Linked DNA regions of Callithrix jacchus. The protein of the gene in region 4 interacts with the protein of the main gene of each other region in a pairwise test. Links are inferred from orthologs where the notes say so. Each region holds a gene or a part of one and is shown on either strand. Other genes may lie near its edges. The genes, in order: RUSC1, CSN3, ZNF488, RBPMS, QKI, MGAT5B and HEYL.

Evidence for each region.
Region 1: the proteins of RBPMS (region 4) and RUSC1 interact in binary tests that used the Homo sapiens proteins (3 or more experiments, as listed by UniProt). The two-hybrid records come from large-scale screens. The link is inferred for Callithrix jacchus from reciprocal best matches to the Homo sapiens genes RBPMS and RUSC1.
Region 2: the proteins of RBPMS (region 4) and CSN3 interact in binary tests that used the Homo sapiens proteins (3 or more experiments, as listed by UniProt). The two-hybrid records come from large-scale screens. The link is inferred for Callithrix jacchus from reciprocal best matches to the Homo sapiens genes RBPMS and CSN3.
Region 3: the proteins of RBPMS (region 4) and ZNF488 interact in binary tests that used the Homo sapiens proteins (3 or more experiments, as listed by UniProt). The two-hybrid records come from large-scale screens. The link is inferred for Callithrix jacchus from reciprocal best matches to the Homo sapiens genes RBPMS and ZNF488.
Region 5: the proteins of RBPMS (region 4) and QKI interact in binary tests that used the Homo sapiens proteins (3 or more experiments, as listed by UniProt). The link is inferred for Callithrix jacchus from reciprocal best matches to the Homo sapiens genes RBPMS and QKI.
Region 6: the proteins of RBPMS (region 4) and MGAT5B interact in a two-hybrid assay, tested with the Homo sapiens proteins (2 studies listed by BioGRID and IntAct). The two-hybrid records come from large-scale screens. The link is inferred for Callithrix jacchus from reciprocal best matches to the Homo sapiens genes RBPMS and MGAT5B.
Region 7: the proteins of RBPMS (region 4) and HEYL interact in binary tests that used the Homo sapiens proteins (3 or more experiments, as listed by UniProt). The two-hybrid records come from large-scale screens. The link is inferred for Callithrix jacchus from reciprocal best matches to the Homo sapiens genes RBPMS and HEYL.

What each region holds. Positions count from the first base shown.
Region 1 is NC_133519.1:15,755,985-15,759,881, reverse strand, and holds the end of RUSC1 (AP-4 complex accessory subunit RUSC1), read right to left. Parts: coding exon 3,844-3,897; intron 2,685-3,843; coding exon 2,559-2,684; intron 882-2,558; coding exon 713-881; 3' UTR 173-712; downstream 1-172. UniProt on the Homo sapiens protein: Associates with the adapter-like complex 4 (AP-4) and may therefore play a role in vesicular trafficking of proteins at the trans-Golgi network. Signaling adapter which plays a role in neuronal differentiation.
Region 2 is NC_133504.1:127,884,724-127,889,297, forward strand, and holds the start of CSN3 (kappa-casein), read right to left. Parts: upstream 3,013-4,574; coding exon 2,959-3,012; intron 1-2,958. UniProt on the Homo sapiens protein: Kappa-casein stabilizes micelle formation, preventing casein precipitation in milk.
Region 3 is NC_133513.1:41,225,645-41,229,521, forward strand, and holds the end of ZNF488 (zinc finger protein 488), read right to left. Parts: 5' UTR 3,858-3,877; coding exon 2,889-3,857; 3' UTR 617-2,888; downstream 1-616. UniProt on the Homo sapiens protein: Transcriptional repressor. Plays a role in oligodendrocyte differentiation, together with OLIG2. Mediates Notch signaling-activated formation of oligodendrocyte precursors.
Region 4 is NC_133514.1:31,625,552-31,629,448, reverse strand, and holds part of RBPMS (RNA-binding protein with multiple splicing), read right to left. Parts: intron 3,556-3,897; coding exon 3,517-3,555; intron 2,302-3,516; coding exon 2,239-2,301; intron 1-2,238.
Region 5 is NC_133505.1:170,109,470-170,113,366, reverse strand, and holds part of QKI (KH domain-containing RNA-binding protein QKI), read right to left. Parts: coding exon 3,608-3,897; intron 2,660-3,607; coding exon of another isoform or gene 2,616-2,659; exon of another isoform or gene 1,387-2,615; coding exon of another isoform or gene 1,361-1,386; exon of another isoform or gene 612-1,360; coding exon 537-611; exon of another isoform or gene 1-536. UniProt on the Homo sapiens protein: RNA reader protein, which recognizes and binds specific RNAs, thereby regulating RNA metabolic processes, such as pre-mRNA splicing, circular RNA (circRNA) formation, mRNA export, mRNA stability and/or translation.
Region 6 is NC_133506.1:132,718,832-132,722,728, reverse strand, and holds part of MGAT5B (alpha-1,6-mannosylglycoprotein 6-beta-N-acetylglucosaminyltransferase B), read right to left. Parts: intron 2,678-3,897; exon of another isoform or gene 2,584-2,677; coding exon of another isoform or gene 2,483-2,583; coding exon 2,370-2,482; intron 1-2,369. UniProt on the Homo sapiens protein: Glycosyltransferase that acts on alpha-linked mannose of N-glycans and O-mannosyl glycans.
Region 7 is NC_133508.1:76,171,714-76,176,104, forward strand, and holds the start of HEYL (hairy/enhancer-of-split related with YRPW motif-like protein), read right to left. Parts: upstream 3,181-4,391; 5' UTR 3,077-3,180; coding exon 2,882-3,076; intron 1,547-2,881; coding exon 1,463-1,546; intron 1-1,462. UniProt on the Homo sapiens protein: Downstream effector of Notch signaling which may be required for cardiovascular development. Transcriptional repressor which binds preferentially to the canonical E box sequence 5'-CACGTG-3'.

The DNA.
Region 1 (3,897 bases), on a different chromosome or scaffold from region 4:
AATAGAGAAGCACTTGTGAGATTCAGGAACCAATGAGGGGACTACTCTATTCAGGGAGCATTACGAACCAAACCTGGGCTAGGAATAAACATCTGCCTTATGTCTCCCATAAGAGGTCCTTCTTCCCCTCCCCCATAGCCTATGTCCTGAAACCCACAGTGAAAGACACACATTCATCTCCCATACTTTATTGGGACAAAGGAGGAAGGGTGCAGACCATCACCACAGGCCCACCCACCAGGGGTGTCCAGGCTTCAGCACCTAGTACATGGTGAGTACATTATCAACACAGGCAGTGTGGGAGGGGCGAAGTGGGGAAGACTCCATACACAGGAAGGAGTGAGGTCCTTCTAGGCTCGGGGGCTGAGGCTGAGGCATGTATTGTACTGGCACAGTCCACTTACGGATGAAGAAGGAGGTCTAGATTTCCATTTTGCAGATAGGAAGGAAGACATTCCCTTATACAGATGGGAAAAAGGAAAGGGATTGCATGGAAGGCAATTCCCTTTTTATATATTTGGAAGAAGAGCAGATTTCACCTTACAGGTGGGCATAGGAGGGAAGAAGGAATGTTTATTTTAAATATTAGCAGAAACAGATGTGGGAAGAAATGTCATTTTGCAGACAGGGAAAATGCTTCTGGGATGGTGTTCACTGGCCATTCCCAGTGAACACCAGGAGGGAGACACATATGCAGAAAAGGGTCCCAGGGCTACAGAACAAGGGAGGTATACCCCACAGGCACCAGACCCTCCACGCCATCCCGCCCACAGCGGAGCCAATCCTCATCCACTGTGGTGATGACACGCAGCACTTCCCCACGCCGGAAGCTCAACTGGTCAGGTCTTGCAGCTGTGTGGTCACAGAGAGCCCGAACTGCCCTGAGAGGAGCCAGAGGAAGATACTGGAATGAAGTGAGGTGAGGGTGCCCAGCTGTACCCAGGCCTCACCTCTAAATAGTGCCCTTGTGGATTCAGCTCAGTGAATATTGACTGGGCTCTGGAAGAGACTTGAGAACCATTCATCAGCGTGGTTATTCTATCTGGGGTCTCAGCCTTCTCCCAAGTGCCAAACCCACTCCAGCTGCTTATTTGACACTATTTACACTCCTCTCTGGTGCTTCAAATTCAACATATCAAACAAAATGACTCACCCTCAAAACCAGTCCCTCTTCATGTTGCCTGTAGTGGTAAACAGCACCAATTTCTACCCACACTTACTCCTGGTAAAACCTGGGCATCTCATGCCACAGATCCAATCCATCAACAAAACTTGCTTGGATCTCCTCCTACTACATCTACTTTTTTTTTTTTTTTGAGACAAGAGTCTCTCTCTGTTGCTCAGGCTGGGGTGCAGTGGTGTAATATCAGCAATCTCCACCTCCTGGGTTCAAGCAATTCTTCTGCCTCAGCCTCACGAGTAGCTGGAACTACAGGCACCTGCCACCATGCCCAGCTAATTTTTGTATTTTTAGTAGAGACGGGGTTTCACCATGTTGGCAAGGCTGATCTCAAACTCCTGACCTCAGGTTATCCACCCGCCTCGGCCTCCCAAAGTGTTGGGATTACAGGCGTGAGCCACTGCACCCAGCCCCCATGTACTCTCTCTTCAACTCTGCTGCCACCATCCTAGTGTAAGCTTCTATCCGATCTCTCTGGACAATCTAACTTGTCTGCCTAAATCTCTCTCAACCTCTTCCCCAGTCCTGTTTTCCCCATAGCAGTCAGATCTCTCTAAAACACAAGCAAGGCTGGGCGCAGTGACTCACTCTTAAAATCCCAGCACTTTGGGAGGCCGAGGCGGGCAGATCACAAGGTCAGGAGTTCAAGACCAGCCTGGCTGACATGGTGTAACCTCGTCTCTACTAAAAATACAAAAATTAGCCAGGCATGGTGGTGGGTGCTTGTAATCCCAGCTACTCAGGAGGCTGAGGCGGGACAATCACTTGAACCTGGGAGGTGGAGGTTGCAGTGAGCCGAAATCATGCCACTGCACTCCAGCCTGGGTGAGAGTGAGACTATATCTCAAAAAAAAAAAAAAATTATGTTTAGTCTCTATAACCACAAAAAATGTATCATATCCTCTTATAGAAAGAATCCTGGCCAGGCACAGTGACTCATGCCTATAATTCCAGCACTTTGGGAGGCCAAGGCGGGCTGATCACCTGCAGTCAGGAGTTCGAGACTAGCCTGACCAACATGGTGAAACCCCGTCTCTATTAAAAACATAAAAATTAGCCTGGCGTGGTGGGAGGCGACTGTAGTCCCAGCAACTCAAGAGGCTGAGACAGGAGAATCGGTTGAACCTGGGAGGCGGAGGTTGCAGTGAGCCAAAATTGTACCACTGCACTCCAGCCTGGGTGACAAAGCGAGACTCCATCTCAAAAAAAAAAAAGGAATCCAAGGCTCAGACGAATGAGTGTCACATGATAACAGAAAAGCTGCAATGCACACTAAGCACTGTCTTATTTTAAAGCCCAGGGTTTTTTACGCTACCTCCCATCCATGCTGTGATAACATACGGTTACACACTAGTGCATTCCCCCCAATCCTCCTTACCTATGGGTTGGCACCACCCTGGGTGCTGAGACCTCAAGCTCCTGAGGAGAAGGCGTCTCGGGAGGTGCCCCCCGCTTCACAAGAGCCAACATGCTCACTGTTGGGGGCAGCCAGCTAGATGGTCTCCTAAAAGAAGGGACATAGGGTCACAGGTCAACCCACCCTCAGAAAACCCAAGAACCCTGGGGTCTGGAGGGAGAGAGAGGCTAAGGGGCCTAACTGTGGTTCAAAAGAGGTCAGGGGTTAGTCACCTTTGAGAGCAGAGTGGTAACTGTTGGACACAAGCACTTTCAGGCTGATTAGGGGGATGACAACAGAGGTCCACACCACTGCACATCACAAGGAACCTATGGACCCATCAGGGCCTATACAAGCTCAGGATGAAAGGGCCACTACAGAGTATCTCAAACCATTAAAGAGCCACCACTTGTTGAGGCCTGGAGAAGGGATTGGCAATTTTTTTTAAATTTTTTTTTTTTTTTTTTTGAGACGGGATTTCACCATGTTGGCTGGGCTGATCTCGAACTACTGACCTCAGGTGATCCACCCGCCTCGGCCTCCCAAAGTGCTGGGATTACAGGTGTGAGCCAGCATGCTGGGCCAGGGGTTGGCAATTTTTTTTTTTTTGGAAAGGAGACAGGGCCTTACTCTGTTACCCCAGCTGGAATGCAACAGTGTGATCATGGCACAGCAGCCTCAACCTCCCAGGTTCAAGCAATCCTCCCACCTCAGCCTCCTAGAGTAGCTGGAACTACAGGTACGTGCCACCATGCCCAGCTAATGTTTGTATTTTTTTGTAGAGATAGGGTTTCACCATGTTGCCCAGGCTGTTTTTCTTTTTTCTAAAGGACCAGATAGTAAAGACAGTTGACTCTTGAACAAAGTAGGTTTCAAATGCACAGGTCCACCTATATGCAGGGTTTTTTTTAACCGAACAGAAAATGCAGTATTCTTGATGTAAAACCCGCATATACTGAGGGCTGTCTTTTCCTACACATCGACTGAGTATGCTCAGACTTGAGTGCATGTGAGGGTCCCAGAACCAATTCTTCACATGTAACTAAGGATAACTGTATTCTAGGCCCTAGGGCCAAGGGAGAAAATCGAGATCATTATGTAGGCACTTAATATAACCATTAAAATGTAGCTACTTTTAGCTCATGGCTGTAGAAAAACAGACTGCCACCTTCTGCCCTAAAGGATCGTCCCTAGAGAGTTTCAAATGAGCCCACTGAGAGACCAGAGAGAGTCAGAAGGTCTTAGAGAGGACAAGATACCCCATTACCTGGACTTGAGGGCTCCACTCTCATTTTCTGCGGTGCCCCCAGGCACTCCAAAT
Region 2 (4,574 bases), on a different chromosome or scaffold from region 4:
ATTTAGATTGTCTTTAAATATCACCACCTAGAATGAAAAAGTCTCTGTTGGAAAAATCTAGTCATCTGACCCCCTTGCCAACAAATACACAATTTGCTTAAATATGAACAGTTTCTATTCAGTTTTTATTAAATATACATTGTTAAAAGTTAGAGGAGCATTGAGCCTTTTTTTCTTTCTCTGCTTTCATACTAAGATGATTCCTAAGGTTTACTTAGAAGATTTAAAATATTGCCTCTTGCATAACCTTAACATACAAATAATAGTGTTTTTAAAACCATCTTTCTTTTGTTTTTTTTTTATAGTGCTTTTCTTAGTTTTGGATGGTAACATATTTAGAGAATCAGGAGTGAGAAAACAATTTTTATGGACAAGTATTTATAAAACTCTAAAAACTCCAAAGCTTTTAGAAACTCTTGAAAAGAGGTTTAGGATATTTCACATCTATTTCTTGGGTATAAAATGACTCTAGAAACCTTTTGGAAAGTGTGAGCACAGAAAATCAGAAATTAAGAAGGCAATAAATTTTTTTGCTTTGAGACAAAGTCTTGCTTTTCTCTAAATATATTAAACCATTAGTTTAAAATAAAAAGAAGTAATATGAGGCTGGGCTCAGTGGCTCACCCTATAATCCCAGCACTTTTGAGAGGTAGAGGTGGGCGGATCATCTGAGGTCATGGGTCCCAGACCAGCCTGGTCAACTTGGTGAAACCCTGCCTATATTAAAAATACAAAAATTAGCTGGGCATGGTGGTGCACGCCTGTAATCCCAGCTGCTCAGGAGACTGAGGCAGGAGAATTGCTTGAACCTGGGAGGTGGCGGTTGCAGTGACAAGAGAGCGCATCACTGCACCCCAGCCTGGGTGACAGAGCAAGACTCTCCCCTCTGCCTAAAAAAGAAGTAATATGAACATTACAAAATGTTTACTTCAAAAATTCTGACAATCTAGATATATTAATGTAATATCAACCTATGTCAGGTATTCCTTATATATGCTTGTCTAAAAAGTATCCTTCATTTTTATAAAAGTGTGATATTTCATATTATTTTTTCATTTCTGTCATAGGTTTCATACTTAGGTTTTTATAGTTGATAACTAAATAATCAATGATTATGTCATGAAATGTTTATTTCTTATCTATTTAAGATAAAATTTTAATTATAAAGAGAGAGTTGAATGACATCTGTATACAAGTAGCCTTTTTAAATAATTTTCATTGCTTCCATAAAATGATTTTTCACAAATGAGATTTTTTCAGGGATTCTTGAATAGAAATCATCAAATCATGGTACAGAATACTGCCAAATTATGCCACCAGTAGGCTTCATGTTTATGCAGTTCAGTGCATAATTGCTAGTAAAAATTTTATCTGACTATTTTTATTCTGGGGAAGGGGTAAAAGAGCACATACAACATGGTATCACAATGATGTTTAAATTTGTATAATTTTGACTACTCATAAGATAGAATAATAAAATCTATGAACTTTATTTTTTTTTTCTGTATTATTTGTTCCTGTCTTTGAGGCCTGCAGCCTTTGGGAAAATGGGAAGGAATGTTTGAGGCACAAATCTGGCTCAGGAGCTCAGGAAAGAGGTAGCTTGCAGCAGGGGGTTGTAGATCATTTTATGATTTAAACTTCAAGCCTGTTACTCAAAGAGAAAACCTAATTTGTAAATGTTCAGGTGGCCACAAAGTATTTGAGTTACAGCATTCAAAGTTGTTTTTTGAGACAGAGTTTCACTCTGTTGCCAGGCTGGAGTGCAGTGGCATGATCTTGGCTCTCTGCAACCTCTGCCTCCTGGGTTCAAGTGATTCTCCTGCCTCAGACTCCTGATAGCTGTGACTACAGGCACACACTACTACACCCAGCTAATTTTTTTTGTATTTTTAGGAGAGATAGGGTTTCACCATGTTGGCCAGGACGGTCTTGATCTCTTGACCTTGTGGTCTGCTTGCCTCGGCCTCCCAAAACTGGGATTACAGGCGTGAGGCATGGTGCCCGGCCAGAACTCAAAGTTTTAAAAGGTAATTTTGATTCCAAGAATTAAATTTATAGACATGTTATACACAAACACAACATGCAGATAATAGATTTAATTAACAGATGTTAACTTAAAAGCAAGTCTAAACTTATAATAAATAAATATTATAGATATTCACAGAACAAGAATTGGTGTGCTCCAATATTTGGTAATCTAGGAGGAGGACATATACTATTATTTATGCTTGCCTCCTTTGTCAGTACCTAGAATCCCCAGATGAACATGAAAATATAAAGAGGCAATAGCTGTAACAACAATAAAAACAAGTCAAGAAATTAAAAAGAAAAGAAGCAGAAATTTTCTAGGTCCAGTAGCCTTAAAACTTTACATATAATTCAAGATAATGCCAGGGATCCCTGGAAAGGGATCAGTCAAATGACATATTGAGGAAGAGTATAACAAAATATATTATTTGAATATTAAAGACAGAACTATCAAAGTCTTTGGAACTTGTGAAAAAGCTTTACCAAAGTTGAACTTTGAAAAATTTTGTTTCCTAAAGACATTGGAGTCTGGGTGAGATAGGAACTTAATTAAAATAATTTCTGATCCCAGACTATGATTTCCATATTTATTCTTTCTGGATTATCTTTAATGCATTTACAGTTTTAAAATGTTTTCAGTATTGTTTTTCCCTCAGAAAGTATTTTCTCTATAGTATGAGAATTTAAAAAGTTTCCTATATATGATTAAGTGTGATTTCTTAATTCACAGAACAAAATGGATATCCAAAAGAATAATGATTTGGATTTCATAATAGAAATAAATGTTAAAAAAAAAACCTTAAAAATGTAACAAATATGTAGATTTTTATTCTATGAAGTATAACTGTATTTAGAAATTGTATAGTTAGAGCCCTTAAATAAAATTTTCTTAAAGTCAATAAAACTGGTTAGATGAAATTAACTTACCAAAAAAGGTAGGGATAATGCCAGGGCATTCACAACTAGAAGAAAACTCTTCATTATTGCACCTAAAGATAAATTTTTAAAAAATTAATTTCAAAGAATTTGTTACTAGAAATTTGGGAGTGACTTGAATGCCGTATTTGCTTTGATTAAGAAAAAATGCCAGATTTACAGATAGATTTAGCTGAAGTGGAAAATTTATTTTAACAAACAGTGTAAAAACCCAGACTTGGAGCAGGGACATGGATGAAGCTGAAAACCATCATTCTCAGCAAACTGACACAAGAACAGAAAACCAAACACCACATGTTCTCACTCACAAATGGCTGTTGAACAATGAGAACACATGGACACAGGGAGAGGAACATCACACACAGGGCTCTGTAGGGGGTGGGAAGGGGAGGTGGGGATAGCAGGGGCTGAGGGAACTGGGGAGGGATAACATTAGGAGAAATATATAATGTAAATGACGGGGGGATGGATGCAGCAAACCATCAAGGCACATGTATACCTATGTAACAAACCTGCATATTCTGCACATGTGCCCCAAAACTAAAAGTATAATTAAAAATAAATAAATAAATAAATTGTTTGAATTTTATTTTTGACAATATTAATGGAATTATCAAATTATTACTACATCAAATGTTGAGATTATCAAGGTGATACAGGCCTTGACAATAAGTAGCATTAATTTTAGAGGAGTGTTGAAACATATACAAATAACTGTAAGAAGAATAATAGTGGAAGATGCCACAAAAGTAGTTTTCTTTTAATAGAGAGTTTCAGTCGAGAGAAGCAGCAGCCTTTGCATGGAAAAATGACATATAGGTGAGGCTTGCCTATGCAGGGTTTAATAGGGAGGGAAATATTTCAAGTAGAGGAGAAAGTCTTGAGAACAGCCATGAACGTTTTGATTGGAATCTTGTATGAGAAGAAGAATATAAGATTAGAAGGAAAGTTAAGAGCAGAAAAAGTAGACATCTTTAAGTTAATGACTGGTTGAAAAGCTAGGCATGGCTTTATAAGCAACAGAAGACAATTCAGTGTTTTCAGACTAGAAAGTGATATGACCATATATTTTTTGGAGGGCTGAGTTCTAGACCAGGCCTTATCTCTACCTGTGTAACTTTGATTAAGTGATTTCCCTTTCCTGGGCTTTACATTTTCTTACTTGTAAAAAATGTAAGAAACTTAGAGATTTCTAAAATTCGATAATTCTGTGATCAATACAATAGAAGTATGTAGGATGGAATGGCAAGTGGAAGGTTATGAAACTGTTCTCTTTATATTTCTCCAGAAATCAGAACTGATATAATTAACTTTATTGTTTTAATAAGAAGTATAGTGATGACAATATGGTGGCTTTGACTAAAATATTTAAAGAAATAAATTAGCCTTATTTTTCTAAGAGTATATACAGTGTCATACCTGCTTATTTGATTTTTAATGAAGCATCATTTCAGACAATAATATGTGATACCCCCAACTTTTTATATATTAAGTATATATTATATTTAGGAAGTAATTACTAACTTCAGCTTGTCGCAGCTATTATCATTCGCATACTCATATAAACTTGAATCACTGAACTTGAGCTTTACAAAAGAGATTTACAG
Region 3 (3,877 bases), on a different chromosome or scaffold from region 4:
CGGTGTATAAATTACACTCCAACACAGCACCTAAAGAGGCTGGCAAGGCTGAGCTTTCCTTATCTTTTCTCAGCAAACAAGGGACCTCCCAGTGTCCCTGTGAGAATGGAGATGCTTCATTGGCACCTGCAGGGAGCACCCTGCCCTTTTCTAGATGTGGAAGACAATGAGCTCAGAAGGTCCAGGCTTCCTCCTCCAGACCACACTTCCCACTGCAGCTGGAGAGCATCCCCAGTGCCTCTCCAAGCCAAGCACTCAGTACCCTTTATCCAAACCACTCTCCTGTGAGGCCCTCCTACCCCTGTCCCTCTATTTCCTCCTCCTCACACCCTGACACATTTGCAGGCTCTGGACTGGTCTTTCTCCCCAGCCACTGCTCTGCTGCCTGCATTACAAAATCACCAGCATGTACTTGTCTTTGAGGCTGAGCCAGGGATGCTGAATAAATGAATGGAAATAGACCCACTCACTCAATCCCTTGCCAGGCCAGGGAGACAGGGTGAGTGAAGGAAGCTTAGTACACATGGAGCATTCCAGCTGCACGGCAGCCCCCTGGTACCCTCCACAGCCAAAGGAAGAGTACACACATATTCAGACCCAGCTTCTCACACAGAAATTATTTCCACAATATTTATTATGCACTGACAATATGCAATGCCCTGTTCTGGGTACTGGGGATGCACAGTAAACAAACCAGTCTCTACTCCCAAGGAGCTGACAGTGTGGATGCAGTAAATCAACAAAACGACAAACGTAAAGATGTTTGCAGATGGTGAGATGTGCTGTGAAGGAAGCCACAGGGACACGCTGCTGAGAGAAAGAGGTTGCAGGGCTGCTTTGCGGGGAATCTGGGAGGCCTCTCTAAGGAGCTGACCTGAGAGAAGAAGCCCCGTGGAACCACAGCAGGAGCAGCACCAACAAGAGCTGGACAGCAAATGCTGAATGAAGCCCAGGCTTGAGAAATGGCACAAGAGCTGCGGTCAGAACACGGGAGCAGACAGCAGAACAGCAGCGAGGTGGTATAGCGGAGTCCCCTCTGCCCACTGCCACCTATGGGCATCCTAAGGCCAAGCTCAGCCCGTGAAGGTAGTAGGTATAGAGGGGAGTATCAGAAACGCTGGAAGTGCTACAGCATTATCTGTAATTGACTCATTGTCGAAATGGAAAGGAAACAGCTCTTGCCTCCCGGGGCTATTGTAGGACTCGCTATAACATCTGTATTCTTCCAGTGCTTATGCTATTGCCTGGTACACAGGGAGAGTGAAATGAGTGCTTGCAATTAACATCAAGCAGGGACTTGTTCATAAAGCAGCTGGCAGGTCCTGCCGGGGTTAGGACTGTAAGTGTGAAGGACAGCCACGGGATTGGAGTCATCATCTTACTTACACTTTCAGAAGATGATCTGGTTGTGTGAGTGTGGACAATGGATGGGTACGTGGTGAGAGGCAGGAGTGGAGGGAGCAAGGACACCAGGGCAGCCAGGAGGGAGTGCTGCTGCCTGGAAGGGTGGACAGAGGAGAGCGAGAGAAGAGGAGCAGTCTGGGAGGCTGGCTGAGATCCCCATCTCTCACTCTGCCTTCTTCCCAGCCACAAGCCTGAGCTCTGCACTGGGCGCCCCATTGGAGTGCTGGACACCACACATCAAAAGACCAAAACCTGACGGTGAGGTAGAAACCAGTGCAAAAACGACACTGGCTCAGAAACTCCCCACAAAGGGCTTTCATCAGACTGACCTGTGCAATGTCAAAGAGTATGGCCTGGGCCCCACACATCCTTAGGCACAAGGCCGATGTGGGTACCTACAGCAGCTACTGACTGAAACACAGTAGATAATACATGGTACCTGGAATGCTCCCCAGCCTCACGATCTGGAAGCTGAGTTTTTGCACATGCCCTACTCTTGGAAGGTAAAAGCACATGTGTGTAGGTGGTGGGGAGGGGGTTCTATTTCCCCCATTCATATATTTACAATGTGAAGAACTATAGACCAGGTGGTGGATGGAATTACCAGTCCCAGTTCCTTACCCTCCTGTGGAGGGAATGGATGCTCACTCCCTTGCCACAGCTTCACCAAGGGCAGCCTGCACTTTTCCACTCCTCAGTTTCGGGCCTGACCCTGCCACTTGCATGGGCTGAGAGGACGCTGGCAATGTGACCCAAGCAGAGGCTTGAGGTATGCTTGTTAGACTCACCCTCTTACGTTCCTGGCATAACTGCAAGAGATGCATGCTTGCTCTGGGTAGCCCTTCAGCCAAAGAAGCAAAAGGACATGACATGATCAAATGTGAGACCTGCTGCCAAGCCCAGCCAAGCTCAGCTTAACCTGAGCCAACCCACAGACCCATGACTTTAGCTTGTCTGCCATGGAGGTCTTGTTGATAACAATAGCTGACTAGTATAGACACCATCACAGACCTTGCTGACTCAGCACTCAGGGTCTGCAGGCAGAATGCCGGCCACTTTGCACACACCGGTCATGTGACCCAGATGCCAACCTAAGACACAGTGCTATCATCTCCATTTCACAGATGAGAAAATGGGGGCTCAGCAGGTCTTTGTCCAAGGTCACAGCTAGTATGTAAAAGAGCCCAGATTCGAATCCAGGCTTTTGTGCCTCCGAAGCCCACCATGTGCACCAGAGCTGCCCCCACCCCCTGCCTGTTAGGGCCTCAACCCTGGATTTGCAAAGCCCATCGCTTTATTCATTTCCTTCAAAATACATCACTCAGGTGCATAAATTTTCAAATTATGCCTGAACTGTCCATCTATGGATGCCAAAGGCAGCAACTCCGCAGAAGACCGTGACAGCCCCCTGAAGGCAAGCCCAGGGAGCCCCCCTCTGACAAAGGCTGACTGATGCATGCAGCAGGTCACTCCACGGACACCTGCTAGCTGTGAGAAGTCATGTGCCGGGAGAGGTGGTGGCGCTCCCGGAAGTGCTCCTGGCACACAGGGCAGGCAAGGGCCTCTTCTCTCCTCTTCTGAGAATGTGGGTCAGGCCCCGCATGCTCCTTTTTGTGGTGGGACCGCATGTGGAAGACCAGATCGGACGTCAGGCGGAAGGACAAGTTGCACTTTGCACACCAGTTCTGGGTGGACAAGCCCAGGGAAGTGAGGGTGGGTGGCAGGAGGGCCCACGAAATGGTGGAGGATGATGAAGGTGGGGGCACCTGGGCCCGGGTGTGCTTGAGCCACAGTGTGGGGTCACCCAGGAAAGCGCTGTAGAGTGGAGCATTCTGTGGCAATGCTTGCAAGTTCCAGAAATCACCAACCAAAAGCTTGGGAGTTGAAAGTCGACCCCAACAAGGGAGGTCTGTGGTGTTGAAGAGTCCAGACAGCTCCCCCAGGGTGCCTGCAGACTCCCCTGCAGGGAAGACTGGGGTTGGTGCCGGCCTCTCTGCTGGTCTCTTGGTTGGTTTGCTGAAGGCACTTCTCTGCTCACCTCGTGCTCTGCTGGGCCACACAGAGAAGACTGTGCTGCCAGCTGGGTCTCTGGGGATAGCCTGGGCCAGGTGCAGAGCGCCAGGCTGGCCTGCAGGGTCATCATGATCCCTCTCCTGGGCCTGAGCATCCCCGCACTGGTCCTTCATCCTTGGCAGCTCTGTGAAGGCGCTCTGCCTCTGCTCCCCAAGTGCCTTCGGGGACAGCGGCTGGCCGGATCGGGGCCTGCCTGGGACTGCTAACAGTGCCGGCTCTGCACTGCCCACATCCCGGCCCGCCCTGCTCACAGCAGCCTCAGGGCCCAGGCGGTTCGTCTTCTCCAGCAGCACTGGCTTGTGGCCCCGGCCCAACTCAGGGTCACTAAATTGCCACCTGTTTTCAGCCAATGGGCTCAATGGGGCCCCCTTCCCTGCCATAGTGATCAGCAGGGCCAGGG
Region 4 (3,897 bases):
ATGTTCACTGTACTTTAGTTAGTATGGCAAGGAAACACAGTTTTTTGACCATTACCATTTAAATATTAAAAAACAACCTTCGGGCTGGGTGTGGTGGCTCAAGGTTGTAATCTAAACACTTTGGAAGGCCAAGGCAGGAGAATCGCTTTAGTCCAGGAGCTTGAGACCAGGCCGGGCAACCTGCCTTTATTTTTTAACAAACAAACAAACCAACAAACTCCTTAAGTTATCTTACAAAAAAACAAAACAAAACAAAAATGCAACCTACCACCTAAGGGAATGCTGCCTTGTCAGATGAGAGGTCACAATAAAAGCCTATTGCTCGGAAAATGAGTCAGTGACATCTCTATACACACATGAGAACTACAGTAAAGCAGTGAGAGCCACGTCTGTGATGCTTCAACTGCTTGTTACTTCCTTAGTAAGAACAATGAAAAGAACATGGTGAAAACTTCATCTAACATAACTTTAAAGGACCCAGAATATTTCTGCATTTAGAAGGTGTCCACCTAGTTAAAATAAAGTTTCAATTTCTGCTAAATTGAAACTGTGGTTCTATTTTCAAGTTTAAAGTGTCATTATACTGGGAAAATTCAGGTTTTATGTATTTAATGCAGAATCAAAACATTCCATTATATACCGGGGTTCAGTGTATACCATTGGTGTTCAATAAATAACTGGTTTCTGCTTTGTTCTACAGGAGAGGAACAGAGTGAGTAGGCAGCTATTCTGACCAGCCAAATCCAGAAAAATTCTGGACTGTGGAATTCCTGGAATCCTAAGGTGTTCCTATGTGTTTTATATGAAAACAACAACAACAATTAAGCAGCTTCTTCCCAGAGTGTACACATTTTTGTTCCAAAGTCTAAAATCTTTCAATGTTGTGTATCAATGACACTATTATACAAAGTAAACAGACTCATATAAAGACTTTTCCTTGGACCTCCAAGTCATTACCTATATCAGGTATTTCCAACACCCCTCTACATGGTCTGCTCAAAGGAGCAGCTAGCCAGTAGGGTACCTTAAGGTAACACAGCAACACAAAGACCAAACACAAGTTCCCAGAAGCCTCCAAAATGGTACCTGTATTGCAACCAGTCAAGTGGTTGCTTGCCTTTTAGGAAGCATCCTTAACACTCTTAGTGCTTTAATCAGCCCTTGCTCATAGCCACTTAGGCCAACTGCCTAGAGCATGATGGAGCCAGACCTCACAGAGACTCAGCACATGAGGATTCATCCTCAGCATCTGAAACTACATTCTGCTTCCTTTCACCTTCTCTAAGCTTAATTCCCTTAAGTTGTTTAATTTTCCAACATACGAAAGAAGAAACTTATTTACCAAAACAATACTGGCAAAAGTCTCAAAACACACAGCAAACAACATATCTACAAACCAAATACAGGTATATCTACTTAATTACAAATGACTGTAATTTATTCTAACACACATGCCTTTTGGGAAAGCCTTATAAGTAAATTTTTAATCAACCAGAATAAAGGCTATGACCAGTTTTTTGTTTGTTTGTTTGTTTGTTTGTTTGTTTGTTTTAAGCTGTATATCTAAAAGGAAAGCCTCATGAAATAAGAAAAGCCAGGATTTCGGCCGGGCGTGGTGGCTCACGCCTGTAATCCCAACACTTTGGGAGGTGGGCAGATCACAAGGTCAAGAGATCAAGACCAACCTGGCCAACATGGTGAAACCCCATCTCTACTAAAAATACAAAAAAATTAACAGGGTGCGGTGGCGCGCACCTGTAGTCCCAGCTACTTGGAAGGCTGAGGCAGGAGAATTGCTTGAACCAGGGAGGCGGAAGTAGCAGTGAGCTGAGGTGGTGCCACTGAACTCCAGCCTGGTGCCTGGTGATGGAGTGAGAATCTGTCTCAAAAAAAAAAGCCAGGATTTCTATCTGTTCTGGGCGTAGCCATTTAGAGTACAATGACAACCAAGCCAATCTCTCAATGATCTCCTCTGGAAAAAACAAAGCAGCACTACACACCACCATGGGATAGGATGGGGCTGGATTAAAATAAGACCCACATCATCAGATGTCAGGTACTTTGAGCATATCTGATCACAATTCTTGGAAAAAGCTCTTTAGAGGGCTAAATTGATGAATCCCTCTCTCTTAGATTGAGCAGTCATATTCTTTCCACTTGAATTCCCGTCCAAAGAGATTCCACTACTTCCCATCACCTCATATGGAAACCCCCTACAATTACATCATTAATACTTACATTCAAAGCATTCTTTGCAGCTTCTGCTTCTGAGCGACTGTCAAAACTGACAAAACCTACGGGCTGAGGAAAAAAGAGAAATATGAAGAAAAAAAAAATCAGACGATATCTATTTTTCTGGGTTAAGGGTGCTATCAAACTGAAAAGCTAAGACAAAGAAATGATCACAGGCAATGGGTAGAAATAAGAAAGCGAAATACCGAAGAATCATGACTCAGTGGCTTAGCCAAATTTCTAACATGAATCAAAGGGATGGTGAGGGTGGTTCTTCAAGGGCACAGCTGGGGATTTAGAGAATCATAAAAAAAATCTAGAAGTGGTTGAAAGGTGAACAGCAGTGAAGAAGGGAATAGAGGAAAACTTGGGTCGGAGAGGCTCTACTTTCCTAAATCAAATTCACTGTACCTCAGTTTCTTCATCTTTTAAAATGGAAAGAGAACCGAATCACCTTTTGGTACACTGTAAGTGCAAGGAATACAATGATACAATGATAAAACCCCTGGACTCTCACTGCATGACCAAAATGACAAAGTGAACATTCCTATCTCAAATCCCAAGGGATGCCTTAAAAATCTTGTGCTTAATTACGCTGTTCTGAGTAAATACAGGAAGGCCATAACCCCTTTGGCCTCCACACATCTATCAATCCAGAAGGGTGTGCCTCCAAGATCATTCTTTTGATGAAACAGAGAGATAGAACAGTGACTGGAGGAGAGGTGTGTATGCCAAGTGTTTAACTTAAAAAAAAAAAAAAAAAAAAAAAAAAAGAATATAGCTACGATCTCTAAGAAACTTGTAGGAAACTGTCAGAATCACTGACTACCACTTCCATTTTGTACCTTCTCTGTTCCATTCTAGACTTGGGACTCTGCCTTACTTTAGTGGTTTGACAGACAGCATGATCCTTCACTATCTGACATGATGTTAAACAAACTGTAAAAGTTTAACATCATAAAAAGAAATGAGAAAGACTTGGGAATAAAAGTGAATTTAGATAATAAGCCATTATTTTCACTGATTCACCAAATCAATCTCAATAAACTACTGTGTTTATCTTGCTCTGGGACAGTCCCTGAAATTCCAGCTGAAGACTACAGAATTATGAAACATTTTCCTGTGCTAATTCCTAATACATCTCACTCACTCTTAATGTTAAAGACCAGAAAAAAAAAAACAAAACTCAAATTCTAATGTGAATAAAAAAAGAATATCAAGCCCCAGCAACATTCCTGAAGAAAGTAAAAAAGTGATCTTTATATGCCAGTTTGAAATTCTTACCTGTTTAGATGTGAGCTTTATAAGAGAACCCTCATAGCCCTGAAAATAAAGAAAAACCAAATTTAGCCAAAAAAGTAACTGTTAATACCATCTTGTTCATGTAAAAATAAATTCTTTATTGATTACCTAACTTGTCTTACAAATGTCTCCCAAGTTATCTGGGAAAGCAAATTACACACATGCATGTGCATGTGCGCATACACACACACACACCTGTTTGCATTGTTGGGGCCTTTAAAAAAATCAGTCTATGGATTTATATGTGTGTGTTTCTCCTTTTTTTTTTCCCCCATGAAATTATATAATGGTAGAAAAATTAGTTTCTGTGATAACAGTAATCTTTTTGTTTTCTTGGTCTAGATAAGAGTAAGGGTTTTACAG
Region 5 (3,897 bases), on a different chromosome or scaffold from region 4:
GTCCTCACTTTGTTGATTTCAGCTAAGTACTTGACAAGTGAACCCTCACGTTTATACAGTGGCTCAAATATAAAAGAACAATGGAAACTAAATCTTCAGTTTTCTCCAAAAGTACACAGGAGGCATATAAACCTTTACTTCTCTCATTAAAGCACCATCCGCTCAATTCATTTTGCAATACCATCCCCAAATTTCAGGAATTTTAAAAGGTAAATTTTAGCAAAAGTTATTAATGAAAATAACTGAGGCAACATCAAAATTTAATAGCTCCCCAAATTGACTAATTTATGTTTTAGTAGAAATAAATCATAGTACATAATAATAAAAGATTTAATAAGTTAAAATATGAAGAGAGAAAAAAAAAACAAAACAAAAAACCCAACCCTTAAATCTGTCAATGATCATAAACAAATTTAGAAAAGGAAAAGAAACTGTATGCAGATAAGCAATTACATTTTTCCATCAGGTGTGGTGTTGCAAATTTTATGGACACCCAACGCATTTCTTATAGACAAGAACTGCAGAACTAAACTAACCTCGGTCTGCGGTCACAATCCTTTGGTAAGGATGGACACGCATATCGTGCCTTCGAACTTTAGTAGCCACCGCACCTAGTTAAATTGCAATTACCAAGACAAAGTTAGAAAACATTCACAAAGGGGAAAAAAAACATTAACAGCAGGTTTATCAAAATGGATTTCAAATGTTCATTTACTACAAAAGTTTAAGAAATACGTTAAGGCACAGTAGTTTTAAAACTAACCATAATATGTCATGTATATATGCATCTATTAATATTGCATTCATTTCAAACATCTTGGCCTTAACCTATTTTATCCATTCATTTACAATCCCCAAGTTACAGTATTTCACGAACTCTATTAGATCAAAACATATTTAAGCTTTACTAGTCACATATTCACTGAAGTGCCTTTCTTGCAGCAGGACTACTTAAATAATGCCATGTTTAATACTGACAATTATTTGCTAACCTTAAGACCACTTCAAGAGTTTATCACTTAAAAAGGTTTAAAAGCAATTCTTAAAGCCTATAGATTGTGGTTTTAAACTCTGAGTCAATAAGTATGAACTGCAATGAATTAGGTGATTAGTAAAGCAAACAGTATAGTACACTTAGCAGTCAGTATACTACTATACACTCCTTTATAAATTACCATTACTGTGTAATATTACAGGCTAAACCAAATTAATAACATAATTTTACTTTATATCTATGTGCAAAAAGTGCAAGTAAGTCACTGACTGCTAGGCTAAGCTTTTTTCCCCCGGAGGCTGCTGAGACTAAGCATTTGTTAAATTCAGATCTGATGAGGGTTCAGTTAAGACCGTTCTTGAATTCTTAGCCTTTCGTTGGGAAAGCCATACCTAAAGATAAAAGGAAGGGAATTAAAAATTAGTTATCAATGAAGATTTGATGCTAATACCAATCTCCTCACTACTACCAACACACATGTCTGCATCTGTTTTGAAGGGCACTGCTTATTTTAAAATAATTTAATGTGAGACGTGACATAAATAGCATGCATGTTATCTGTGTGCAAATTTATTATAACTTAGCAATTTAAAATAATTTTCTCAGTTCTCCAGGTGGTCAATATCATATTTTACTGCTTAGGTGGCAAGGCAAGAAATACAATTAACCAAAATAGATTTTTTTCATTTGGCACTCATTATTATTCACCTTATGAATGCCAATTAGGGATATGCACATTTTGGTCTTTATTTTGCCAGGCTACTAATTAAGTTTTTATAAGTAAAAATTTTCCAACAAACAAAAGGCATGAAGCTTTACAATGAGAAACAACTTTACTGCAGTGCCTCTTGCGATTTCTAAGCAGTAAACTGGTCCATCACCCTTATTCATTTTAGGTAAGGTAATCAAATACAAGTAAAATTCCATGTGGCAACATCAGGGGGATCTTGCATTGAAAGTGCTGGAACAGCAGCTGGTGGCTAAGAGTCCCAGCCCTGCAGGAAGTCAAGAGTCATAACTCCTCGGGAACAGATGCTGTGGGTGCCGCAGAGAGGAGTTCTGGGAAAAGGAGCATGCATGGGACCACAGGACAGAGTATTAATAGAAAGGAAAACTTAAACGAGGTTACAGGTTACATGTTATTTTAAAAATGCTTCAAGAAATGTGCAACAGAGACAACCCTCTCATAAACAGTTCTGTGGTATAATTCTGACCTGCATTTACTTTATACAATGATTTAAACGGAAAACATGTACAGTGAAATGTATTTGTTCATGAAACAAAGGGCACCTGAGTGCATGCACACACACAGATAACATACAGAGCAACATGGTTTTCTTTACTTGAACAATGAATTTTCTAGTTTAAATCTTAGTGTTCCAGTTCATTAAATATTTTCAAATTTTTATAAATCAGTATTAATGCTGGGGAAAAAAAACCTTAAAAGATCAAAGTCCTAAAAGTCAACAGCATGCATGCAGCACCAAGGTCATATACAATTCAGGAAAAAAGGTATTCAAATTTTGTCTGGTAAAACAAAGGGGTTGCACAGAAACAGTTTGTTCCACATTGACTGGTCGTGTTATAACAGCTGCTGTATTCTAGTCCTTCATCCAGCAAGTCAATGGGCTGAAATATCAGGCATGACTGGCATTTCAATCCACTCTATAAAAAAAAGGCATCAGTAATGTCTTTTTCAAGCACACCACTTTTTGTTCATGTAAAACCAAGCGTTTATATTATGATTTTAATTTGTGCCTTAAGTGAGATTCTGAATTCAGTGATTTGGTATTTATTTAACGATTTCACACGGTACTACTGAAATTAAGAGTTCTCTCTCATGTTCAATATGACTAGGACTTCAAAAGACAAGAAACGAAAAATCTTAAGAATGAAACTACAGTCATGCACTGCATAACAACATCTGGTCAATGATGGACCACATATAGTGGTCCCATAAGATTATAATGGCTATACCACACAGCCTAAGTATGTAGTAAACTCTATCATCTATGTCTGTGAAAGTACACTCTATGATGTACACCAAATGATGAAATTGCCTGACAAGGCAATTCTTAGAATGTATTCCCATTGTTAAGCGATGCATGACTCTATTTACCTGGTCCCTTTCATATTTTAAGTGATCACAAATATTACAAAACACATACAATAATATGGATTTTATAAAGATCTCAAAATACTTTAAAATGGAAGTCTAAACTTTTTCCAACAACTACATAACTCTGTGAGACAAATAAATCTAAGTTTGAGAAATGGAGCTGATGGAGGTGACAGGCCAATGGCGTGGGACCTAAAACTCAGAATGGCATCAGTAATGTCAAATGTAAAAAGTATCTGTTAAAATGTACACAACAGATTTACCCAACCAAACTGAACCTGAGTTACCAAAGTAGATCTGAATAAATTTAAGGTGCAATTATTTCAAAGGGGAACCCTTATGAGAGGCTGAAATAAAACAAAATGTAGTTTTCAGTCTTTCCTAATGGAAAGTTGTCTTGCCTCTCCAAAACTGATAAAATCATTTCAAAATCTGGGGGAGCAAAAATATTTATAAAGAAGAATGCTGTTAAGCCCATGGGGAGAAGAACTTACCTAATACACCACTAGGTTCAATAGGATACTCAAGGATTGATGTAGCTGGTGCCAATGTGTAAGGATACTCATAGGGTGTATAGATTAAGCCAGCTTCGGGCCCTGGAGGAACTATTGCAGCAGTTGGGTGAGGAGTTCCGTTTGGCATGACAGCGGTCTGTATTTGTCTGATCAAAGGCATTATGGTAGGGCCAGCTGGCGTAGGAGTACGCAGGGCAGCTGGTGGGAGAACCGGCGCAGGCCCAGTAATAATCCTTGGAGCAGCCTGGGCTGTTGCTGCAAGAGAAAAG
Region 6 (3,897 bases), on a different chromosome or scaffold from region 4:
GATCGCACCACTGCACTCTGACCTGGGCTACAGAGCGAGACTCCATCTCAGAGAAAGAAAAATAAAATCAGATCTTGTGAGAACTCACTCACTATCACAAGAACAGCATGGAGGTAACCACCCCCATGATTCAATTACCTCCCACAGAGTCCACCCCACCAGACGTGGAGATTATGGTAATTACGATTCAAGATGAGATTTAGGTGGGGACACAGCCAAACCCTATCAGCTCCCAACACAATTTCATTCTCATAAAGTCCAAAAAACAGGCAGAACTCCTCTATGTGATCAGAAGTCAGGTCTCGACCATCCTTGGGTGAGTAATGACTGTGAAGTGGCATGGGGACACTTGGGGGCTGATCATGTTCTGTTCCTTGATCTGGGTTGTTAGTTGTATAGATTGTTCACACACACACACATCTCTAGTCCAGCTACATGACCTTGGGCACGTGCTCTTCCCTCTGTGGTTCCATCCCTCTTTAGACCCAGACCTGCAGCTGGGGTTGGACCCCCACCCTGACACCCAGGCAAAACTGCACAGCACAGAGCACAGCAGAGCACCCACACCCCTTGCAATTCTGGGCCACTGAGCCTGATCCTGCCCAGATGGGGCCAGAGCCATGGGGTAGGAGTGTTGCCTTGACTCTCCAACCTCCTTAGGGAGATGAGCAGAAAAACCTGAGCCCAATCAAAAATCCCTCCTCCCCACCCCGACTCCCACCTCTTAGACCCCTGATGTTTCTGGAGGTTCAGCTTCCTCAAGGCCTCTGTACAGCCCACCCAGATGGGCACACCCCTTTCCAGGGTGGCACCCAGGTAGTTTATGAATCTCTGTCTACAGCCCATCTTCCCATACACCACTTTTCCCACCAGACCTCCCCAAGCCACCCTTCCAGTGCACGTTTGCAACTGCCCCATCCCACCCCCACCCACCTCAATCCTCAGCCTCTCACACATAGATATTCTGGCACCTCCTTGGTCCTCTTTTGTAAACACGCTTTGCTGCAGTGCCCCCGTTTCAGGCTTGACACATCCATTAAGTATTGATGGAGTGCTCATTTGACAGATGCTGCTGAGGCCCCTTCCCATGCTTTATCTTAGCGTATCTTCGAGATGAGCCTGGGAAGTGGGTATTACCATCCCATTTACCAGAGGAAAATTTGGAGCCTCAGAGATTGAGAAATCTCTGCAAGTCAGAGATGGGATAAATTAACTTACACTCAGGCTTGAATGACTAATAAGTGTGAGATTCCTTCTGAGAGCTTTTGCAAGTTTAAAGAAGTGCATGTGAAACCAGAGCAATGAATCTAATGATGAGATGGCAGATGGCATAATAAGAGCCCCTCAGCAACCGCCCCAGATGACAACCTATTCAACTTGGGATGTCTATGATATTCATTGCCAGGAACAGGGGAGCCAGGTAGCCAAGCCCTGCGAATTCAAGAAGGTGGACTTCAAGGAGAGACTTTGCCAAGGGGCAGGGGAATCTCACAGAGCCAGCCCTCAAACAGTTCCAGAAACCCACTCACCTCAGTTTCCCCACTACCCCATGTTCCTCCTTTAGACCAGTGATCAGAAGAATCCCCATGACACAGTGGGCAGGACTCAGTTCTGACCCCCACCCCTCCTTGGGTGAGATGAGGTACGGAGAGGCCCAGCTTCAGGAGGAGGGCTCCCAGCTGGTCACTCTCATGCCACGTGGCTCCAGCCATGCTGGGTGATGTCCACGTGTGAGCTCCTTCAATCCAATCTCTGCAGAAGGTCACTGCTGCCCTTCTCTGTAGGGAAGCCAGGTGACTCGGCCAAAGGCACACAGCTGGTAGGTGATGTCTAGGATGTAAGCCCAGACCCCCCAGACCCCCAAAGCCCATGCTCTGATCTCCATTCCACTGCCTTGCAAATATTGTGTGGGCAAGGAGTGATGGGGCCTGGAAGGGGGAGCTGTGTCCCAAGGACTCATAGATAAAACATTTAAGCCCAGGGCTGGGCCTGTCCCTACTGTGGCCACAGGCTGGGCCAAAGGCGAGGATATGCATGCCTCAAAGAGACAGATGTCATATCCAGAGACCTCTTACCCCCGACACCCAACTAAAGAAGCGACACTGGCAGCCTCTTCTGAGCCCCGGGAGATGCTGGCTTAAAGGCCCCAGCCTGGCCTGAGAATCCAGGCCAGAGGAGGCCTGATCATCACTGCCAGACCAGAGCCAAAGCACACTGAGGGTCATACAGCCCAAGCCCAGGACCCCACCACTCACATCCATCTACAGGGTGGCCAGAAAGCCAGGAACAGGGCTAGGCTCAGAGGCACTTCCTCTTTGACCCACAAACACCCTCACTCATCTCACACTCCCCTTACCCCACCAAGGTACCTTCTGTGCGGATGGTGAATGGCGAGTCCCCCAGGCGCCGGGTGGAGAACTGGCCTCCTAGAGAGGTCATCAGGAAACAGAGAGTGAAGAAGCCGATGCCCAGGACAAAAAGCCTGCAGAGAGGAAGGAAGCATGTCAGAAGGGCAGGCAGCACCATCATGCCCCAGCGCTCCACCAAGTACGCACTGCACAAATGCTTTATGAGTGAGTACATGAGTGAAGGAGGCAAGGGAGAACGAAAGGGTAGGGGCTGAGCTCCCAGGCCCAGGAGGGCTCCCCTCACTATAGGATAAAGAGAGCTCGACTACAGGGAGCTGGCCCACAGCCACACGGAAAACCACGAGGCAGAATGACGCACACTTAGGCGTGAGGCAGGCGGGCTCTAGCCTCCAGGCAGAGCTGGTTCATTAACAGCTGCAGTCCTCAAAGTGTGGTCCCCAGACCAGCCGCTGGCATCACCTGAGAATCCTTGGAAATGCCAGTGCCAAGTCCAGACCCCAAATGACTGAATCAGACACTCTGGGGATGGGGCAAGCAAGCTGTTTAAGCAAAGTCTCCTGAAGATTCCACTGCATGCTGAAGTTTGAGAACCAGTGATGGACACAGCAGGGCCCGATGCCAGCCAGAGGGCAAGGAATTGGTCCAGGCAAGGCCAACCTGGATCCCATCAATCACCCAGGCCACCCTGGGTGCTGTGCAGGGGCCTTGCTGCAGCAGTCATGAGGTCGCTTGGACACCATCATCCATGTCCACTACTAGATGGTAAGATCTCCATGGCAGGGCCACACGGCCCCGTGCCCACGATCCCCCCAACACACATCTCTCCTAGGCAGGTGCACACAGGGTCATCAGCCTGAACCATGGACTGGCCAGGGTGTCCTTACACCTGTGCCCTCACACCTGTGTGACAGGTGTGTGTGCTGTCCTGGCCAGAACAGGACTCTCTTGTTCATGCTTTCAACACGGAGTTGTGGATTATCTACGAGGATCCAGGCTCTGGGGTAACCCCAGGGGTACAGGAGGGAACGAGGCACAGAACCCTCCCTCCCTCAAGCCCAGACCCAGAGTTCTGCTGCTTCCCTCATCAATCCTAGGCCCAAAACAGGAGCACTGAGCTCAGCAGCACAGCCTTGGGGCTCCTCTGGGACCTTGAACCAATCAGAGGACTTGATGAACTGGCAGAGCTGAAAGGGGCACCCTCCCACCAACCCCAGATCAGGGCGAGGAACCCCATCTTGTGTGGAGCCAGGCTACCCGGAAAGAGCCCCACATGTCATGCCAGAGACCCCTGGGCCTCGCCCCTCCACTCCCCGCCCTCCAGTTCCACGCTTGTTTGTATCTTTACACAAGACTTGTTTTATGCATTTTAATATTCATTATTTGAAATTGGCAGAGCAGTATTTAATTAAAATTTGGTCCATTAAAGAAAACACACAATTGCAGAAGAAAATAAAAAGCACAACAAAATCCCAGCCCATATTTAAAGGAAGCTGTTAAGAGATTTGGGCAGGGAGGAAGAGAACCCAAA
Region 7 (4,391 bases), on a different chromosome or scaffold from region 4:
TACAGAGGACAGAAGGGTGGAGTCTCCAGCAGTGTCTTGATTTTCTCACCTTCCTCCCACTCCACTGCTGCCTGCAATTGGGCAGTGCTGCCTGCTTTGGCCAACTTCTCCAAATCTAGAACATTCTCTTCAGTTCTCCTCCCAGACCACCTGTCCTCTGTACGGCTGCCGGCCATCTTTCCTGAAACCACAACTCCCTTGACTTGCACGGTTCTCTCTCTCTCTCTCTCTCTCTGTCTCTCTCTCTCTCTCTCTCTCTCTCTCTCTCTCTCTCTCTATCTCTCAGATGGAGTCTTGCTCTGCCACCCAGGCTAGAGTGCAGTGGCCTGACCTTGGCTCACAGCAACCTATGACTTCTGGGTTCAGTGATTCTCCTGCCTCAGCCTCCTGAGTAGCTGGGATTACAGGTGCACGCCACTATGTCCAGCTAATTTTTTTGTATTTTTGGTAGACGTGGGGTTTCACCATGTTGGCTAGGCTAGTCTCAAATTCCTGACCTTGTGATCCGCCCGCCTTGACCTCCCAAAGTGCTGGAATTACAGGTGTGAGCCACTGCACCTGGCTGCTCTGCCTGTCTCTTAACACAGTAGTGTCCCTTCTGTGTCACTTGGCACTCTGCTGCTCCCGGCACAGGGGTTTGTCACCTCCATGGTTTTAACCACCATCTTCAGAATGCCTCCTAAACCAGCTCTTCTGGGAATCCAACTTCAGACTCAATGTGCCTAAGATCCAGCTCACTGTCTTATCCCCAGAGCACCTGCTCTTCCTCTTTTCTCTCTCAGGAAATGCTTCCTAAGCTTCCCAGGTGAAGTCTGAAGATCAGACGCTCCATGGGAGTCCCTTGAGGGCAGATACTAGGTCTAGTTCATGGCTGGTCCTGTGGTGGTTTTAGTGAACATCTGTGGAATGACTAACTTGTTCTCACCAGCATAAGGGAAGGCAGAGGACCTGTGACCTATGCCTTGGTGCACAGGGTGAGAATCTCTGTGGCTGAGTCCACTGTCTGATTCCTCACTGTAGTTCCCCCACCCTAACATGCTCGATGGATGGCAGAGTGCTCACTCCCTGAGCAGCCTGTTCCACTTTCAAATCACTCTGGAAATGTCCGTAGTGCAGAGGGATGGTGGCTTGAGAATCACACACTCCCGTGCTGCTACTTAATAGCTGTGTGATCTGGGATAAGTTACTGCACCTCTCTGTGCTTCAGTTTCCTTACCTGTGCTATGGGCATAATAATCCCTACCTTTCAGGATCATTTGGAGGAGTCAATTCAATGGGATGATGGACATAAAGCCACCTGAGTGTAAATTTCCATTCTTTATACCCTGCCAGTGGCAGATATTGGTAAATGACCACAGCATCTCAGGCAGCCGCTACCAATCAACAAGAGATGCCATGAGAAACGAACCTTATCTGCCGCCCACACAGTATTTCCTTTAGCACAATCAGCAATGTCACATACCTGTTTCTCAAAGGCAGTGGGGACCAGGCGTCGCAATTCAGAAAGGCTGCTGTTGATGCGGTCTCGACGCCGTTTCTCTATGATCTAAACAGTCACGACAAGAAGTTATTCACAGGTGCGTCACCACAGTTTCTAAAGTGCCTCGATAGACATCAACTCATATTTACCCACACAGTATTCTTGTGAGGGAGATCAATCTAGTCTTACTTTACGGTGGAGAAAACCAAGGCTCATAGAAGGACAGTAATTTGCTTAAGGTCACACAACAAGAAAGTGCAGAGGTGGGAGCACAACTCAGATCTCCTGTCTTGGTCTATAGGGGTGATACTCAAGATGTTTAACCACTGGTACAGAAGGGCACAGCCAATCAGAATGAGGACACCAGGCCCTGGAGGTCCCTGCTGGGTCAGCAGGAGGGTGACCTTGTAATCTGCGAGGTCATGAGGTGGTTTAAGGAGTCTCAGGTGTTGCTTTCTCTCTCTCTCTCTCTCTTTTTGAGACGGAGTTTTGCTCTTACTGCCCAGGCTGGAGTGCAATGGCACGATCCTGGCTCACTGCAACCTCTGCCTCCAGAATTCAAGCAATTCTCCTGCCTCAGCCTCCCGAGTAGCTGGAATTATAGGCATGTGATCACGACGCTAATTTTATTTTTTTGTATTTTTAGTAAAGACGAGTCAAGCTGGTCTCGAACTCCTGACCTCAGGTGATCCACCCACCTCAGTCTCTCAAAGTGCCAGGATTACAGGCATGAGCCACCACACCCAGCTAAGGTGTTGCTCTCTCCAGCTGCAGAGCCCTTCCATTCACACACTCTCATTCTCCCCTCATAATACTGGTAGCAGAACACTAAGAGCAGGACAGATATGACCCATTTTACAGATAAAGAAAATAAGGGCTGGAAAGAAGTGGTTGGCCTAAGGGCTTACAGTCAGTGATTGTCAGGCAGTGCAGAAGCACAGCTGTATGCTGGGAGGAAAGTGGGGCTGGACACAAGGGACAGACAGCAGTAGCAAGGGGATCCTTCTGCTGTCCCCTCCCCCACCCCAGCACACTGGGAGGGGATGAAAGTTCTGGACTGAGAGAGGAGACAGAAGATAGGATGGTGGGCAGGCTGGAACAACAATCATAACCGCCTATTGTGTGTCTGCTATTGTTCAGAGTGTTACATTAATGCACTTAACCTGCAAAGCAGCCCTTTGAGCTGGGCCCTGTCATTATTCCAGTGACACAGAGGAGCAAATCAGGCCCAGAGAGGTTAAGAGGCTTGCCCAGAATCACCCTGATAACTACTGGCAGGGCCGGGATTTGAATCCAGGCAGTTAGCTTAGAGTGAAGTTTCTGCCCAGGGTTCTCCCTGCCAGACTGCAGGGGATTCATTTTGTAGGGCAACTCAGAAGCTGAGATGAGACGGACACTCACCCCTCTGCGTTTCTTCCTGGCTTGCATCTGCGAAGGGCTGGGGGTGGACAGCGGCCTGGCCATCTGGCTGGAAAGGAAGAGAAAAGCTGATTTTTCAGGGTTGAGGGACTGTCTCCTTGGCCCGGGCGGACCTGGGACCAGGAGGAGCCGCAGGGTCCCAGGAGGAGCAAGCTCTCCCCTTTTCCCCCTGCTCATTTCAACCCGGGCCAAGTCCTCTCACGCACTCTGGGCCCACTCTGGGTCTTTGGTTGGGATCTGCTCCGCCTCGCCCCTGGCCCCTCGCGGCGGCCGTCGGGGGTGGGGGAACAGCGCTCAGCAGCGCGGCAGCTCAGGCTCCTGCAACCCGATCCCTGGGGCGGGGCGGGTGAGGGCACTGGCCGGCGGCGGCGGGGACGGGCCGGGAGGGTAGGGTTTCAGAGGGAGCCGCTGGGAACTAGCGTGGAAAGAGCAGATGCCGCCGCTTCCCACGGGCCGGGCGCGCCGGCCGCCCGCCCTCCGCCCGGCCTGCAGCTGCCACCTCCTCCCACGCAGTGCGGCCGGGGGCGAGGGGGAGGCGGCATCTGGGTCACAGGCCCCTCTAGGATGCTCTGGTACACTGTTCTGGCCTCCTAGAAGGCCTGGTCCCCCCAACCTCGGCCTCTCCTCCCACTCTGGGCCTTCCCTCTGCAGCATCGATTGAATGATGGGTGGTTGCTCACACCCCGGGAGCTCCCATTACAGAGAAGAGGCTTAGCCCCAGGGCTTTTCCTGCCCAGACTCTGACCAAAATAATCTCCAGCCCAGCTGCTAACCCTTCTTAAGGTTTTCTGCTCCAGAAGCTCTCTTAGAAGGTGAGGATTCGCTGGGTCCACTAAAGCATCATTCATTTGGCCAACATTTCTAAGGCTCTATTCAGGTCTGGTGGGTGCTGATGCACTCAGCCAGACCCCAGCCCTTCCTCAGCTCGGATCCAGTGGGCAGACACTGCACCAATAAACAACAAACAAGGTGACTCCCCTGCCATTTCGGAAGACACAAGGCCACACATCTGAACATGAACCTGCAAGCTGGCCTTCATCCCCACCCGCTCCTGCTGCCCCTGGGTGGAAAGCTAATGCTGTCTTTGATTCCTCCTCCTCCTCACCCCTACCTCATTAAAACCTGCCCACACTATGTCTAAAATACATCTCACGTCTGTCCTCTTCCTCTCCGCCACTTCTCTCAATGCTGCACCTCTATCAGCTTTCATCTGGATGAGTGCAAGCGCCTCTTGTTGGGTCATTTTGCACCCTGTTTTACTCTCTGCAAGCCTATCTCCACACTACAGGCAGAGTGATCATTTAAATCTGATCTTATCTCTCACTTAAAACTCCTCAGTGGCTCCTCAATTTTTATTTGTTTGCTTTGAGATGTAGTCTCGCTCTGTTGTCCAGGCTGGAGTGCACTGGTGAGAATTTGGCTCACTGCAATCTCCACCACCCGGTTTAAGTGATTCTCCTGCCTCAGCCTCCGACATAGCTGGAATTACAGG